3 linked regions of the Yarrowia lipolytica genome follow. The protein of the gene in region 2 purifies or fractionates together with the protein of the main gene of each other region. This does not show direct contact. Links are inferred from orthologs where the notes say so. Each region holds a gene or a part of one and is shown on either strand. Other genes may lie near its edges. The genes, in order: YALI1_C01720g, YALI1_F36132g and YALI1_D11614g.

What was found.
Region 1: the proteins of YALI1_F36132g (region 2) and YALI1_C01720g purify together in Saccharomyces cerevisiae (affinity purification with mass spectrometry; 5 studies listed by BioGRID, with this or other methods). This does not show direct contact. The link is inferred for Yarrowia lipolytica from reciprocal best matches to the Saccharomyces cerevisiae genes RPN3 and NAS6.
Region 3: the proteins of YALI1_F36132g (region 2) and YALI1_D11614g purify together in Saccharomyces cerevisiae (affinity purification with mass spectrometry; 3 studies listed by BioGRID). This does not show direct contact. The link is inferred for Yarrowia lipolytica from reciprocal best matches to the Saccharomyces cerevisiae genes RPN3 and RPT5.

The regions. Positions count from the first base shown.
Region 1 is NC_090772.1:170,786-173,284, reverse strand, and holds YALI1_C01720g (uncharacterized protein), read left to right. Parts: upstream 1-1,229; coding exon 1,230-1,916; downstream 1,917-2,499. UniProt on the Saccharomyces cerevisiae protein: Acts as a chaperone during the assembly of the 26S proteasome, specifically of the 19S regulatory complex (RC) and appears to have an overlapping role with RPN14.
Region 2 is NC_090775.1:3,611,634-3,615,202, reverse strand, and holds YALI1_F36132g (uncharacterized protein), read right to left. Parts: upstream 1,953-3,569; coding exon 531-1,952; downstream 1-530. Other genes in the region: YALI1_F36127g (uncharacterized protein), read left to right, coding at 2,497-3,569. UniProt on the Saccharomyces cerevisiae protein: Acts as a regulatory subunit of the 26S proteasome which is involved in the ATP-dependent degradation of ubiquitinated proteins.
Region 3 is NC_090773.1:1,159,655-1,162,566, forward strand, and holds YALI1_D11614g (uncharacterized protein), read right to left. Parts: upstream 1,769-2,912; coding exon 527-1,768; downstream 1-526. Other genes in the region: YALI1_D11623g (uncharacterized protein), read left to right, coding at 2,693-2,912. UniProt on the Saccharomyces cerevisiae protein: The 26S proteasome is involved in the ATP-dependent degradation of ubiquitinated proteins. The regulatory (or ATPase) complex confers ATP dependency and substrate specificity to the 26S complex.

The sequences.
Region 1 (2,499 bases), on a different chromosome or scaffold from region 2:
CTGTACCGCCATCACTAGCTTGTTCGTCGACACGGCTTTTCCACTCACTTTAATTTAAGCCGTATTTTAAGCCATGTCTTAGATCCAGACGAAAAAACGGTCTACCGGACTTGGTACAGACCTTAAACCAGCCCGTCAAAATACCGGTCGAAATACAGTACATTTACAAAACAATATAGGCTAAAGGCCAATATAAAAAAGCGTGTTGTAGTTGGACACGCGTATTGCACGCCCACGTCCAATTGCTCGATATACCACGTACCAGTGCGTACATTGTGTACAGCGGACTGTGCATACACCAGGCGCTGCCGGAGGTTCGGTTTAATTACGTGCTTGTGCTCGGATGCAGGGGAACCAACGGCAGTCACCGTTCTTAGTTTACCGGCATGCCGAAAAAGGCACGGTTTGCGAGCAGACAAACGGGCTGCTCACGACGGCAGAAAATTAATAATCGGCCATTGTTGCGCACTGCTGGCGACGTCCGCCACGTAATATGACGGCATTGCATTACATGGAGGGGCTGGATAAGAAAAATATTGCAAGGCTGATTGGCGATAGATAGCCGAGCACGGTGTATGTTGGGTTGAGTGGGTGGGAGGAGAGCCTTTGGAGCACACTTGTGAGACAGGACAAGGACAAGTGTAGCGGCGTATGCAATTACCCGTGTATCTGGTAATTAATGATGCATTTAGTGTGGGGGTCGAGGCCATAGCAGGTTGGCGACTGGGCAGGCATGGTAATAATCAACAAACGAGAGCCAATGGGCGCTCGTGAAGCTGTCGAATGTCGTTATTCTCTACTGTTAAAGTAACGGTTGGGACAAATACTTGAACTTAGTGGGCTCAATCAAACCCCCTGGTTGACAGCCTTAATTCAACCCCAAATTTACCACCTTGCTGTTGAACTACGGGCTCTAAAGACCATGCTCAAGGTGGAGGGTCGGCGGTCCAAAAGCCCAATTTTCCTTTCCCCACACGAAGCGATGGATCGCAGCAATATTTTCCACCGTCTTCCCCACTCTGCCCCACAGTAGAGCCTCATGATTTCATTTCCTTTGAACCAGACCAAGAAAGAGGTTAAACCACCTCGATCAGGTCACGTGATCATGCATACGGAAATCTGGGGACGCCTCGAACCTTAAGCAATCGTACCATGATCGAAACCTGCATCACCACCACGAACAAGTCCTTCCTTGTACACACAAGCATTTAACACAACAAAAACACACAATGGAAACCAAAGAATACCCTCTCCAGGTGGCTGCGCGGGACGGCGACTTGGCCACAGTGAAGGAGATTCTGTCACGTGACCCCAAGCAGGTGAACCTGGTGGATTCGGACGGCCGAAGCGCTCTGCTGTGGGCGGTGTCCATGGGCCACAAGAATATTGTGGAGTGGATTCTGGACAACCAAAAGCCTGCTGACATTGACCAGACCGACGCTAGTGGCTGGACCGTTGTTCACATTGCCTCCTCCACCGGAAACATTGACATGCTGCAGCTTGTTCTGCCTCTGGATCCCGATGTCAACGAGAAGGCCAATGGAGGACAGACTCCTTTGCATCTTGCTGTGGGCAAGAACCGAATCGATGCCGTGCGACTGTTGCTAGATCATGGAGCCAAGCCCTCAGTTCGAACAAAGGACGGCCAGGGCCAGATTCCGCTCGTTCGAGCTGCTGCCAACGGCTCCATGGTCATGGTCAAGACTCTGCTTGAGAACGGGTCGCCTCTGTCCACCACCGACATCAACGGCTGGACCGCTCTGCATCACGCCATGGCCGAGGGCCAGGGTGACGTTGCTGTCTATCTCATCCAGCAGGGTGCTTCCGCGGAGGCTGTGGACAGCGACAACAAGACCCCCTTTGATGTTGCTGTCGACACCAAGGTTCTGGAATACGTCAAGTCTCAGCTCGCCTAGATGGTCTTATCATGGGATCGGCGACCGATTGCTATTTGTACAGCACAATTGTACGGTCGAAGAGCGCAATTGGGTAGCGAAACTGTCAAGAGCTCACTTGACAAACATGATAGGATGGCTTTGTCTTGGCATGGATCGGACCCGCTATTACTTCTATTTCATAGTCAACCAAATGCATACACTGTTGGGCGGACATTGGTGAATTGCCATGCTATGCTGTGGGGTTCTGCCTTTGCTCCATCATATCAGCTACCTGTAGCGCAAAGAGCCAGTCTAGCCGTACGTGCTGTAACCTTCGCACTTTCCGAGCCCACGGAGTTTTGTACGAAAGAAGACAAGGATCGTAGGAAGGGTAGAGAGTGGATAAAGCGCGTATAAAAGTAGATAGAGAGTTTCGTTAACGCGGTAAAAGGGATGCACGTAGATGAGGTAGGACCAAGCAGCATACGTGTACAAGTAAGTGCTTTACCGGGAATGTGTGTTTTACCGAGTACAGGTATGCACATTGTGTAGTGCTTGGTAACGGTTGAGGTTTTTAAGTGTAGACGAAGAGGTTTAAATAACTGTCCAAGTGATTTGTCAA
Region 2 (3,569 bases):
GTGTCGTTAATGTGCCCTTGATGATTGCCCTGTGTCGGTGATTGTCGTGAGTCAAGGTTCGGTGATATTTACATCTTCAGATGGTGGTTTGCAGCTGCAGCAATAATTTTGAGTTTTTTAGGAATTGGCCCAACGTACTGCAAGTAGTTCCCGTACCTAATTACTATTGTACTGTACCGGTATTTGAAGAGGAAAGCTACCATCATCTGGTTTTCCGTCATACGAATAAGAATTACTTATTATCCCGTGTAAATGAACCCAAAAACATCTATTTGTCGATCTCATAACCTCGTACTTGTACACAGTAGTAACCTATGTTATTGTCATCTCTACTGCACATACTATACTCGCCTAAAAGGAGAAGGAGACATGGTTACTTGCAATAAAATAGGATAATAGGGCATCACAGAAACGGAGTCTGGGACAAAGTAAACGCCCACGTTGTAGTCTACAGCTGCCATTAACCCAATTACAATTTCGTAACACATTACCTACAATGGTGGACATTCTAAAATCATATGCTAGCCTATCTAAAGATCAAAATCCTCGTCGTCATCGTCGTCCAACTCGCCCTCCTCAATCTCCTTGACCAGCTCCCGCTCTCGCTCACGAGCCTCGTCAGCATTCTTCAGATCAATTCGGTTGGAGTTCATGGGGTACCGCATGGCCTTCACACTGTCGTTGTGGAGACCGATGCAGAAGGCAATTCGGTCGTGGAAGGTCTGCTGAGGCTCGTTAGTAGAGTACACGTCCAGCACCTCCTTAGATTGCATGAATCCTCGCTCCGAGTCGATGGTGGCTTCAATGACACCATCTCGAATGGCCTTGGCCACAATGTACTCTGCAGACTCCTCCGACTCGAGTCTCAGACGGATACAAATATCCTTAAGAGAGATTCGTGAATATGCCAGAGACATGATTCTGATACCGGTCTTGATGACATTCTGTCGCAGACGCAGAACCAGGGAGTAGGTACCATCGGCCTTGAACACGGATGCATACTTTTTGATTGTGTCAGCAAACTGGTTGAGATCACCGACTCGCACAGCCTTGACCACCTCGAAGTAAGCCTTGAGGCTCTGCTCCCGTCCGCTCTTGAACACGCTTCGTTCGGGAATGTCGCCCATCAGCAGTTCGATCACAATGTTGAGTTTTTGTGCGGCTTGCAGGAAGCCGGCAGCCAGAGGGGTCTGAGGCGCCTTTCGGATGGCTCCAGTGATGTGGGCGTGGGCAGCTGTGTAGTCAAGCTCGATTGCTCTGATTTTGGACAGATAGTACATGTAACGAGCGGCCAGAGCGTTGGCGGCGTTTTCGGGGAAGTTGACCTTGGACACGAGGTTAGAGGCCTGGGTCACATGTGCACAGAGCAGGTAGTTTCGCAGCAGCAGGGTGATCAGCGAGGCCTCAGTCTCGGGGTCATGTCGGAGAGAGGCAGTTCGCAGAGATGCCAGCAGGATGGGTCGGACAGCCTCGAGGTTGCCACTGAGCTCCTCACCTCGACACAGGTAGAACCAGATCTTGGAGGCAAGGTAGTCGAGCGATCGTCGGTTATAGGTTCTCAATCTAGCCACCACGTGCTCGCTGAGTTTCCGCAAGTCGTCAATTCGGTTCTCGTGGAGCAGCCAGGCCTGGAACAGCAGTGAAACGTACATGTCGATCTCTGGTAGAGGCTGGGTGGTGGCCTCAGTGGCGCCAGAGGCTCCATCAACCTCCATTTCGTCGGTGTTGGGGTTGACTCCAGCCAGAGCAACAAACCCGCTTCTTCGCTCATCGCCAGCAGGGTAGGTCATGACGGCGATTTGTGCCAGCAATTCTGGAGTGAGCTTTTTTCGTAGAGCAGGCAGACCTCGTAGGACTCGCAGGACGAATCGCTGGTCGAAGGAGGCGACGGCCTTCTCCAGAAAGGCGAAGGATTGCTTGATTTCAGCCAAAACAGGGTGGTCTGTGGTCATGGTTGTCTGTGCTGAAATGAGTATGATTGTGTGGTGATGAATCCTATGTGATTGAGTGTGGTGATGTGTGGCGACAACCTTAATTGGTGGTGCTTTTGTAAGTGGTCACGTATAGGTGATTCCGAACGAGCAGCGTGTTATTGGGAGAAGACGTACTGTAGATGGGGTTCGGTTCAACATTTGAGGTAATTGAGCGACGGATTGATGTCGTTAGATGGAGATTATACAGAAAGGTGTAGCTCATAACCTGTACTTATGGCGTACAATAGCATAATGTGTGCATGCGATAGGAGTATACATGTATGAACCTCAAGTTGGTTGATGAAGCTAAATGATTTCATAAGAAGTACTGGTCGTGATGTGGGATTATAGATACAGATATTCGCCACTGTCGCACACCCTCTCTCCGCACCTCCACTCCAAGTAACAACCCACCTTAACAACCTTGATCTCCAGCTGCATATGGACCATGAACTTAATTGAATGAACTCCAATTTATAATATACAAGTGGTCACCTCACTACAAGTACCAACAAGAACTACTATGCCAGTGTCGATAGAAGAGCTCAAGGCTTTGCAGGTTCAAAAGAAAGAGGCTTCTAAGCCAAAGTTCATCTCCAAGGCTAAGCGGGCCGAGATGGCTGCGAAGGCCAAACAGATCCAGAAAAACACGACATCTGAAGAGACTACGTTGAAGGATATTCGATCTACCACCGACCTGAAAAGGTCAGTTGTTCAGGAGACTGTGGAGACCACCAAGCCTCTCCCTTCGAAACCCAAGCCAAAATCAACCTCTGGAAAGTTTTCATTCGACTGGAGTGCTGCAGATGACACCTCCAAGGCATATCAGCCCAGCTACAGTATCGATTCCGGAGATGGGCAGGTGCCCAAACGCCAAAAGCGTGACCTGGAGGACGCACACTGGTCTGATAAACCTGTGGAAAGCATGACGTCGCGTGACTGGCGTATCTTCAAGGAAGATTACAGCATTGTCACCAAGGGCGGAGGAAATATTCCCAATCCTCTTAGGTCGTGGAATGAGTGCAAGGAAATACCAGGAATTGTACGTGATACAATCTCTCGAATGGGATACAAGGAGCCCACGCCTATCCAGAGAGCTGCTATTCCTATTGCTCTAGGCATTCGGGATGTGATTGGCGTTGCTGAGACAGGTAGTGGTAAAACTGCCTCTTTTCTGATCCCTCTGATCAGCTACATTTGTGAATTACCCAAGCTAGATGAGAGATCGAAGGTTAATGGTCCCTACGGTCTTATTTTGGCCCCCACTCGAGAACTGGCTATGCAGATCAAAGACGAAGCAGTCAAGTTCTGCGCACCACTCGGCTTCAAGGTGGTTTCTGTCGTTGGTGGATACTCTGCTCAAGAGCAGGCTCTGGCTGTACAAGAAGGAGCAGAACTAATTGTTGCTACCCCTGGCCGTTTGCTTGATGTCATTGACAGGCGACTGTTGGTTCTAAACCAGTGTTGCTATGTGGTCATGGATGAGGCCGACCGTATGGTGGACATGGGCTTCGAGGAGCAAGTCCAGAAGGTTCTGGCGTCTCTACCCTCGTCAAATGCTAAGCCCGACTCTGATGAGGCCGAAAACCTTGCGGC
Region 3 (2,912 bases), on a different chromosome or scaffold from region 2:
GGTCGTGTGTTTTGTTTCTGTGTCTGTGGGCGTTTGTGCGCTCTCGGTCTCGTCGTATTCAGCCCAGTTGTGTTCCTGTCGACTATCGTAAGTGGAGATGCAAACTGGAGCGTAAACTTACGGTTTGGCCAAGACGAGCGTGGTCTATGCATGTTCCCTTTGACAACCGGAGCTAAAGTGAAGTATAACGACATACCACGCAATCGTTTAGAACCGGACCGGACAAGGTGAGGTGGACGCGAGGATGGAGACGGACAGCTTATTATATAGATGTCAGTTGTGTTTGTGTCTTTTGCTTCTTGTTTGAGAGCAAGGACTGTTTTTTTTGTTTTTATTTTCCACTGATCTCTGAAATAAGAAGGGGCTTGTTCCCTACGAAATGACATCATAAATAAAGCATGTTTTCTTAGTGAGAAATCATGTTAAAGCGTTGAAAAATCGCAAACCACGGGTACAGCATTTATACAGGTGTCTTTGCAGCCTCTCACGACTCGTACAATTTCATCAGATTAGGTATATAACATACTTATGCATAGAAAGACACGGACTTGGACTTTCGTGCCTGGACCTCGGTGATGGCCTCAACAAAGTCCTCGTGGGTGATCTTGTTCTTGCCAGACCGAAGCGCAATCATACCCGCCTCCACAGTCACAGCCTTGAGCTGTGCTCCGTTGAACTCGTCGGTAGATCGTGCCAGCTCCATCCAGTTGATGGAGTCGTCGCAGGTCATCTTTCGCGAGTGGATCTGCAGAATGTCGGCTCGTGCCGATTCGGAAGGCAGAGGGAACTCAATCTTTCGGTCAAGACGTCCGGATCGAAGCAGAGCGGGATCCAGCACATCGACTCGGTTGGTGGCGGCAAGGACCTTGACTCGGTCGTCGGATCCGAAACCGTCCAGCTGGTTGAGCAGCTCCAACATGGTTCTCTGCACCTCTCGGTCTCCGGACTTGTCCGAGTCGAATCGCTTCGTTCCAATGGCATCCAGCTCGTCGATGAAAATGATGGTGGGGGCCTTCTCCTTGGCCAGAGCAAAGGCGTCTCGCACCAGCTTGGCACCGTCACCAATGAACATCTGAACCAGCTGGGGCGCAGCCAACTTCAGGAAAGTGGCGTTAGATTGGGCGGCACAGGCTCGGGCCAGCAGAGTCTTTCCGGTTCCGGGAGGGCCGTACATGAGAGCGCCCTTTGGGGGCTTGATGCCGAGTTGCTTGAACTTTTCAGCCTGCTTGAGAGGCAGTACCACGGCCTCCACGAGCTCCTCCACCTGCTTGTCAAGACCTCCAATGTCTGCGTAGGTTTCCTTGGGCTTTTCGTCCACCTCCATGGCCTTGACTCGCGAGTCGTACTCTGCGGGCAGGGTGTCCAGAATCAGAAACGAATCCTTGTTGACTCCAATCAGATCGCCGGGCTTGAGAGTTTCAGGATCGACGAGTCCCACGAGCGGCAGAAACACCGTTTGTCGGGTGGACGTTTTGATGACAGCAGACTTGCCGACTCGAGACGCCTCCACGTCAACATTGGCGCCCTCCTCGGCCACCTCGCCCTCCATGTCCAGCAGCTCCACCACGTTGCCAACCAGATACGGCAGCACCTTGTTGTTTTCAATCTTGTCCGCGTTGTCCTTGATCTTCTCGTTCATGGTGTTGCGCTCGTGGCTGAGCCGCTGGAACTCGGACTTCATGATTTTGATTTCATTCTCCAGAAGCCGTTTGCGGTTGAGAATGTCTTGGGTCGAGTTGGACGCAATGTCGAAATCTAGGTCTTCCATTGTCACGGGCAGAGTCTTATGTGTGCGTAGCGGTGGTGTCTAGAATAAAAAGTGCGGGCACAGAGCTAACACGGATTGTGATGATGGTCTAGTTGGAGTGTTGGTTGTGAGCTGAGAGAGGTGCCCTGCGGTGATGTGGTGGACACACTGTTCGAGAAACCTTAATTGCCACTGAAGTGGTAGAGCAACACTGGACACCAAAGGAAGACTGTCGCAGACGATCTAGAGACGCTATCGAAAATCCAAAGACACAGCTCGACGTAAAATCACGTGATTTCGTAATATTGTGTTTTTTGTTTTGGAAATACCGTCAATTGCCGTTGTTTGGATATACTCCTTTGGCTCCAAAGTTATAGCCCTCATCCAACCAACCATTAATATAATTAGTATTAATTATATATGGTTAAATCAATCAGACACACTTCTTCTTGAGTCTTCCAACACTGATATTGGTGAGTCTGTACGTCTTACGTTATCAAAAGGTCTTGATCTGGCCATTAATCACGTCACTCGTGATCTCTGATTAGTCATTATTTGTATATATGTCACAGCACGCCACCGGTTGCCACTTTTGCTTATGTCAGCGATGGCGTTGGTTGACATACAGTGGTCCAAGTGTTCTACACCGGTATGTACAAGACGAACACAGTGTCGATTATGTAAGTAAGGATCCTCTCATTTCGTTTATTAATCACCAAATCCCATTTCTGTACACAGATCAATCGTGTTGGTTTTTTTATTTTTTTTATTTTTCTTTCTTTTTTTTCTTCTTTCTTTCTTCTTTTTTCTTTTTTATTAATAATCAGTCACTATCACTATCTAAACCTAATTCAGCTATCAAGTCACTTGACTATTATGACGACGGCGTGAGCTGATCACCAAAGAGACACCATCAGTACTAATACCGTCCACCTGCCAGTTTGCATGTCACAACCGGAAGCCGCGCTCAACAAGGCGTATTCACTGGCCAAGTCGGCGCAAACGGCCGTCGCCAACAAAGACTATGGTAAGGCGATAGAGAAACACAAGGAGGCCGCTTCTCAGCTGCTACAGGCCAAGAAACTGTCCTCCAACGCGTCGGTTCAACGGGCGCTCGATACCATGTATGCGCACCATCTTGGCGAGTCGTCTAAACTCGAGGGCC